Linked DNA regions of Coturnix japonica. The protein of the gene in region 2 interacts with the protein of the main gene of each other region in a biochemical or structural test. Links are inferred from orthologs where the notes say so. Each region holds a gene or a part of one and is shown on either strand. Other genes may lie near its edges.

Region 1 (3,912 bases), on a different chromosome or scaffold from region 2:
GTGCTTTAAGTATTTCATTTTTAATCTTATTTCTTGAGCAGTGAGGGGAAAAAAAATCCAGTGACTGGTTGGTTTACTGATAAAACTTGAAACTTGTTTCTTTTCCCAGCATCTAACACATAACAATGAAACAGTGCATTGTTAGACTGGAATTCCACCAGAAGGACACTTTTCCATCCTTCTTTGCTAATTAATCCTATTTTCTCTGGGACTTCTGAAACAATCCAGCCCTCATTCATTTCTGAAACAAGCCGATTTAGTTTCTCAGCTTCCTGCTGTTTCAATGGAAAGGAAAACGTGTCAGTTTTTCCTATGACCGAAATGATAACGTCATTTTTTTGGATACCTCTGTTGTAGAAAAGGAAAATCAGCATCAGAAACCCTATGAAAAATACTGACAGTTTATATAAATACTTGTCACACGCAGGTTTAACAGAAGTCTGTTCTTAACCTATTCCAGCTGTCTGGACTTCAAGTAAAAGCCGCAGATGATCAGAGCTGATAATTGTTGGCAGCGTCCAGAAAAAGGTACGTGTACTTCTCGACAGTTGTTTTAAGGTAGATGTGAGCAGATACGTGACTGTTAATCATTAAAGGCACTTTATATCTTGTTACATTTTTACTCTGTCCCACTTACATATTTTAACCCTTTTGGAACATTTCCTCTAAGTCCATCTTTTCACTTACCATAACCCAGGCAGCACCACGCAGCTGCTTTTTAGTCTCACCATAAAGCCCCAGGATCCAAAGCTGTGTGCTCATCTCTCTGCTCAAAGCATCCATTTACCAGCAGAGCAGCGTGCCCTCGCTTGGCCTCATTTTGTTAATTGGGATTCCGCAACACAGGGCTGCGTTACAGGCACTGCTGGGTGCAGCCCTCATGAACAGCTCTGTGGGCAGCTGGAAAGAGCCAACACACCTCACCAGTGCACCTCACCAATGTGCCCAATGTGCCCAATGTGCCCAATGTGCCATGGTCTGACAACCAGCAGAAATGCGGCTACGGAATTGTCTTTTATCATTTGTTCCATAGAAATGTGATATAGATTCTGAGAAAATGTAGTAATGTTGAAACAATGATTTTCTTACCTCTAAGTCTAAAGGGGAAAATTAAAAAAAGAAAGCACAGCGATAGAACCAATTGGGTAACAGGAGCTGAGCGTTCTCCTGGCCTGCTGTTATGTAAAACATTACAGTTCTGTAAGCTGTTGGCAACGCGACGGGAGAAACAGGCATAGGGCCGCGGTTCGGCGAGTGCGGAGCAGCAGCGAACAGGAGCCGGCGCACAGCGGCTGCTCGGCGGCCCTGCCCGCACCCAGCGCTGCCCGGAGCGCTCCGGACGGTGCGGGAGGGTCGGGGCGCCTCCAGCTCCGCCGCCGAGTGCCGGCAGGCGGCTGCAGGCCCGGCAGGGCGGCGGGGCCGGAGGTCAGGCGGGAGGGCGGCACCGCGGGCCCGGCGGAGCGCAACCCGGGCCGGGCCCACCCCGCGCTGCCGACACCGGCCCGGGGCCCGAAGCTGCCGAGGCTTCCCCCGTCCCGCTCGGTCAGAACGGCCGCAAACGGCTTCGGCCTTCCGGGTCGCCCCGGTGACGGCCCGGCCCGATCCTTTCGTTCCGGCACCACCGAATCACGGATTCGGCTCCCCCCGTCCCCCACCCCCTCAGCCGGACCCGGACCCGGACCCGGACCCGATCCGTTCCCCCCGGCCGCGCTCACCGTCGCTCTCGGGATCCGCGGAGCCGCTCCCTGCTCGCGGCCGCCGTCACCTGATCGCCCCGGAAGCGCGGCCCGGCGGAAGGGACCGGCCTCTCCCCGCCGCTCCGCTCCGCGCTGCGGGGCCGCGTTCCGCCCGCACCGAGCGGTCTGTGCCACCGCGCTGTGAGTGAGTGAGCGCTGCCTGCCGCACCGCGGGACAGCGGCCGGATCAGCCGGATGAGCCGGGGCAGCGCTGCCTGGGCGCCGCGTCTGCCGTCCCGCTCTGCTTTCAGCGCAGCCCGTCCGTCGCGAGGCGCTGCGGGGGCTGCGGCCCGATGCCTCCCACTGGAACGAGCGCGGACTGCGCGTCATCCGCGACAGCGAGTGTCCGGGAGAGCGGGGGAGAAAGTGACAGCGGGGAACGTTACACAAAGGCAACGGAGTGCGGTGCTGTGAGCAGGAACAGCTCCGGGGACAGAGCGAACAGCCTCGAGGAGGGATTTGTGTGTACAGCTACGAGGAGAGGACGGGCCCGGGGCTGTCAGAGCTGGGACAGACTTGGAGCGGGACAACCCCAGCCTGGAGCCCAGCGCCCTGAGAGGAGCGCAGTGATGAGTGCGAGAGGAGCCTCTGTTAGAGCAGGGCGCTGTGTGAGCCGTGTCCGCTGCCATAGACGGGCTGGGAGCACGCGGATCTCACGGCACGTTCGGACGTGCCAGCTGGGAGTTAGTGTCAGTGTAAAACCGTGCGGGGCTGAGCTGCTCATCCATCGGTACCGCCGGTATGGACACGGTGACCCGGCAGCACTGCCACAACTGCCGGGCACTCGGTGTATTGCACCAGCGCAGCCCTCGGACCAGCGGGTGGAGGCGGTTCCCCGTGCCGTCTCCTCGCTCCTCCCGTTCATTCCCCGCCCTTCCCGCCGTTCTCCTCCCGTTCCGATCGCTCCGGTTCCGCCGCGGCCATCTCGTGGGGCTCGGTGGTACGGGACTACATCGCCCGGCATGCCCCGCGGCACGGCGGGAGAACTACAGCGCCCGGCGTGCCCCGCGACGCGCGTGGCTTCAACATGTCGGCGCCCAGGGCCGGCCGTGGTGTGGACAGCAGCTCGGACTCGGAGAGCAGCGACGGGGCGGCGGAGCGGTACCGGGAGGCGGCGTGGGACTGCGGGAAACTGCGGGCGGGCGGTGAGCGGGAGCGGGGTGACGGCGACCGCTCTGTGCGCTGCACGGCTGCTGCATGGCCGCTGCATGGCCGCGTCTTCCTGACGTGCCCCTTCCCTTGCAGGTGCCGTTCCGAAGGATCCGCCGCAGGCAGCTCGGCACAGCCTCAGGTATCGATCGTGTTCTGCTGAGGGAACACATGAGCTGTGCTGCTCAAGGCCTTATTGTGCCGTTGGAATCGGTGTGATTGCGATCTGAAGTGATGCTTAGTTCTAATAAATGAATACAGTTATTTCGGAAGTGTATTTGTCATCCCTCTAGCAGTAAAGCAAAAGTAATTGAAAACAAATGTCTGCTGGCAGTTTCACGAGTTCAAGTTAGCAGAAATGCCTCATTGTGCCCTAATTCTCCCGTGCCCCTGCCATGAAAAACGTTAATAGTTACATACAACAAAACTGATTACTTGAAAAATAGAGGGTTGTATGCAGAAGGGCAAATAATTCCAGTGTGACTGAAAACCTGATCCTTTATTGGGTGGGAAAGCAATGTCTGAATTAGGTGCTTTGTACCAAGGGGGATGCTGAGCTACGTAAGCTTGCAGCATTTCTGCAGGCTTGGTCTCAGAAGCTGCCAGCTGTGCAGCTCAGCGACATGTTTCTTCTGGGACAGATTTGCATGAATTGTGGCAGTGCATTCAAGAAGCTCCTACCAGAGCGGGGATGTCCTGCCATCATCTCTTTGCTTCTGCAGACTGTTTCAATGAGAAAATCATCCCATTGCTGCCAGGAAGATGGCTGAATAATGTTTAACTCATTGTTAGGAACTGAACTGTTGAGTTCTTTGCTTTACTTAGCAGTTGTCTCTTATCATCTCAAATGTGGATTAGTTACTACAGGGTGGGAGATTTTACAGCCCCTTATCTGCTGTTTGACTGTGAGTGTTGGATGTTATTGCTCTTGAAGGAGATGATCATTATTTCATTTTAAACAGACGTGAGGTGAATGGCCACAATGAGGATGGAAATGAGCTACAGACCACACCAGAGTTCAGAGCAC
Region 2 (3,900 bases):
TTTTGGCTGAAAAGACCCAATTCTTTTCATACAGTCCCAAGCTGGAATGTTTCTGCAAACAACGTGGGCATGGTGAGAGTGCTCTGGGAAAAAAAAAACAGCAAACAATAACAGTCGTCCTGCAGCCATACCAAAGTACAATGAGGAAATAATCTACCTTGAATAGTTTACTTCCTGCATAAGTATAAAACATGCGTAGAACAAGCGCCGTTTTCAGGGATTTCTGTGTATTTTTACACACCTCCTTTAATTTTTTTCTTTACAAAGGAGCGGATGTTGCTGTTAAGTACAGCACTAGTACAGGAAACATTACATATGCATCTGTCTGATAGATTTGAGACAGTGCTGGTTACTGTACTGTCTGTAGTGCAATTATCAGCCTTAGATTTCAGCACGGGATAAGCTCTGTTACCAGGCTGGTGCTTTAAAGGGGGCTTTCAATCATTATCTGGACGTACCCAAGATAATGTAGAGATCCATACCTTGAAGGCAGAACACTGAGCAGAACCTGGATACCCTTTTTATGGCATTTATCAAGTTGTATCAAGTGATCAAGTTGCAGAGAAAGTAATTAATTATTAAGCTTATTATCTGTATTCGAAGTACCTCTTAGGAGCTTTTCTTTTTTGTTTTGCTTGGCCACTAAGTAAATGGGTTTATGTCTGAACTCTCTCCTGACTTTTCTTCCTAGCCAGCATTCTATGTTGAGGCCGTCCTGTGTGCTGGGAGGCCAGCTCTGCTGAACTTCCAAAGCCAGGATGATGTCCACTGATATTTCTGCTGGAGGCTTTTTGATCTGGAGAGTTATTGCAGGGCTTCCGGGCTTTTTCCTTTTCACGGTTACTTCCACATCTACTAACAAAAAAGAAAGTAATCTTTTTTTTTGGAGGTTATTAAGATGTTTACTGAATAGGAATTAGTAATTGGTCAGAATCCTCAAGCATTTCATCCTGTAGGGTTGGTGAAATTAAGGAGGCCAGATGAGGCTTCCCTCTACAAAAGAGAAGCTCTTCTCGACCTGAAGCATTCGCATGATTTCTCTGTTTATTTTTAATATTGTGACTATTTGAGATGTCTTCTGTAGGCACCATAATGCTGTCTAATGAACAGGAACGACAAGGGAACATCAGATGACTGTGGAAAACGTTTAGAGATTTGTCCACAACTTGGCCAAAGGCTTATGAGGAAAAAGAGCACTTTAAAATGCAATACGTTTTATGGGTAGCTATGAAGTAACATTCAGTAATGCATTATCTGACTCAAGTAATGTAATTCCTTTTGCTGCTCTGGTGCATTTATGGTGATTTTTAGAATAAGTGCTTGAGATCACAGGGGAAGAGAGGGTTTCACTTTCAGTTATGATGCCCCGAGGGATAATTGAGTGAGGGGAAAGATACATATTGCATATATGGGATTGCAGATGCATTATTAGTGTGCCTGAGTGAAACCTGATTGTGCAGTACTTACTTTTAATGTGTTTTACTTCCTCTTTAATAATTCGCCTTAGTTCTTGCAGCATTTTGTCGGCTGATAATTTTCCATCTTCATCTAGAAACTTATTCATATACTTCTCTTTTGGACTTCTTTTGAACGATAGATAATAATAGGCTCCAGTGCCGTCACACTCATCTAGCTGCAGCCTTGTGACAGGCATTACAAGCATGATATCAAACTCATTTGGTTCAGATATCTGCAAAGGACAAGAACACAAGCATCACCTTAGGTTGTATTGCCTTTCACCTAAAGCTGAAGCTTTATCTACAACCACCTGGATGTATTTTCCACATCTGGAGTGAAACATTACCTTATTTCTGATGAATTTGTATTACCAGACTGATGTGCGTTCATGTGAAGAAGAGCAGTTTAGTGACACCGCTCCCCCGGTGGTCACAGGTCCGAGCTGCTGCAGGTCAAGCAGCCACTGACCACCACCTCCTGGTACAGCATCACAGCCAGTCCATGGTCCAGCGAGCAGTCATGGAAGCACAGAATCCTTGCAGCTGGAAGGGACCCTGAAAGGCCATCTAGTCCAACTGCCCTGCACCGAACAGCGACACCTACAGCTGGAGCAGGTTGCCCGGGGCCTGGCCTTGAAAGTCTCCAGGGACGGGGCATTCACCACATCCCTGAACAACCTGTGCCACTGCCTCACCGCCCTCCCTGTGACACACCTTTTTCCTTATATTCAACCCAAATCCTACCCTCTTTTTACGATCAAGGTTTAATTAAACCCTTTTTTCCTCGTGCAATCACTGCAGCCCCCGCTAAAGGGCCTGTCCCGTTCTTTCCTATAGGAAAAGCTATAGCTCCCCTTCTTGAGTCTATAGCTCCCCTTCTTGAGGCTATTCGGCCGCAGTCCGCCCGCCCCTGCCCCACGCTACCCCAGCCCCGCTCGCACCTTGACGTGCTCGTAGTAGCTGCCGGCTCCCAGCCTGCTGATGGAGCTGAAGCTGCCGTCCCTCCCTCGGACGGCCTGGATCAGGTGGGACACGACGTGGTTCACCAGCCCCGACGCCTCCGACACGTCCTGCCGGCCCAGGCTGAGCTGCGACAGCACCTCCCTCAGCCGCAGCCCGCCCGTCGCTCTGCTCCGCGCCGACAGGGTTCGAGGCACCGGGGTGGACTCAGCTCGTGCCCTGGGCACGACCGCGCGTGGAGCCCCGTCCGTGGGATGCCCGTCGGTCGCATCACCCCTCGCGGTCGATCCGCGTCGTGCCGCGGTGCCTCTACCCCGTGAGCCGCGAGGCCGGGCCGCCCTCTGCCTCGGCTGCCCTCTGCCCGCCGCCGTCTCCTCCATGAGCCTCACGCACCCACGCGGAAGCGAGCGCGACTCGGCGGGAAGAATCTCAGGGCGAGTTCCTCTTCCAGGCGGCGCCGCCGCTCTCGGGGAACCAAAACTCCCGCCAGCAGCCGGGACGAGCCGCCGCCAGGGGGAGCCCCAACGCCAGCCGAGCCGCCTCCCGCCCCCCGCCCCGCTTCCCGTTCCGGCCGCCCGCAGCCGCCATGTTGTTTTGCAGCGCATGGCGCCGCCTGGCGCCGCCCGCGGCTCAGCGGGCACACAGACGGCGGGCGGGGAGCGCGGCCCCGCGCTACGAAGTGCTGGTGATCGGCGGCGGCCATGCCGGCACGGAGGCGGCGGCGGCGGCCGCTCGCGGCGGGGCCCGCACGCTGCTGCTCACGCACAAGATCGGCACCATCGGTACCGCCGGGGGATGAGGCCGGGGGCGGCGGGGCCGCACGTTGCGGCGGTGCTGAGGGTGTCCCCGTGTGCTTGGTGCAGGAGAGATGTCGTGCAACCCGTCATTCGGAGGCATCGGGAAGGGGCACCTGATGCGGGAGGTGGACGCCCTGGACGGGCTGTGCGGGCGGATGTGCGACGTGTCCGGGGTGCATTACAAAGTGCTCAACCGCAGCAAAGGCCCGGCCGTGTGGGGGCTGCGTGCGCAGATCGACCGGCGGCGGTACCGGGACCGAGTGCAGGTGGGTGTGCGGCCTGTGCTGCGCGCTCCGAAAGTAATGCCTCCCATTTATTGCCCTGCAAACTGCAATAGAGACCGAGAGCGCTGTAACACTGGTTGATAGAGCAGATTATCAGCTACAAAACTCTATTTTTCAGCGTAGTAACCACCAATATCATTGTATTTTTGCTAGCAGTGAATAAGAACCTGCCTGCTGCACTCATAGAGGTGACCCACTGTGTGAAACACACCACCTGCTCACATCCACTCTGCTCTCCATAAATGCAAGCACATGTTGATGTATGTCAGTGGGTGCCATGTTACCTGCATGGAGGAGTTCACTGACACACCTTGCTTCATACACACTTCCATGTCAGGCACCATGTTGTCAGGCTGCCCCTCTGCTGCCATCTGTCACACAGCAACATCATGGAATAGAATA

The links.
Region 1: of the proteins of CGAS (region 2) and RNF185, one has a biochemical effect on the other in vitro, tested with the Homo sapiens proteins (2 studies listed by BioGRID). The link is inferred for Coturnix japonica from reciprocal best matches to the Homo sapiens genes CGAS and RNF185.

The regions. Positions count from the first base shown.
Region 1 is NC_029530.1:8,057,243-8,061,154, forward strand, and holds the start of RNF185 (E3 ubiquitin-protein ligase RNF185), read right to left. Parts: upstream 2,491-3,912; 5' UTR 1,716-2,490; intron 1,384-1,715; exon of another isoform or gene 1,090-1,383; intron 1-1,089. UniProt on the Homo sapiens protein: E3 ubiquitin-protein ligase that regulates selective mitochondrial autophagy by mediating 'Lys-63'-linked polyubiquitination of BNIP1.
Region 2 is NC_029518.1:74,372,770-74,376,669, reverse strand, and holds the start of CGAS (cyclic GMP-AMP synthase), read right to left. Parts: upstream 3,023-3,900; coding exon 2,399-3,022; intron 1,691-2,398; coding exon 1,468-1,690; intron 856-1,467; coding exon 607-855; intron 1-606. Other genes in the region: protein MTO1 homolog, mitochondrial, read left to right, coding at 3,004-3,199, 3,281-3,480. UniProt on the Homo sapiens protein: Nucleotidyltransferase that catalyzes the formation of cyclic GMP-AMP (2',3'-cGAMP) from ATP and GTP and plays a key role in innate immunity.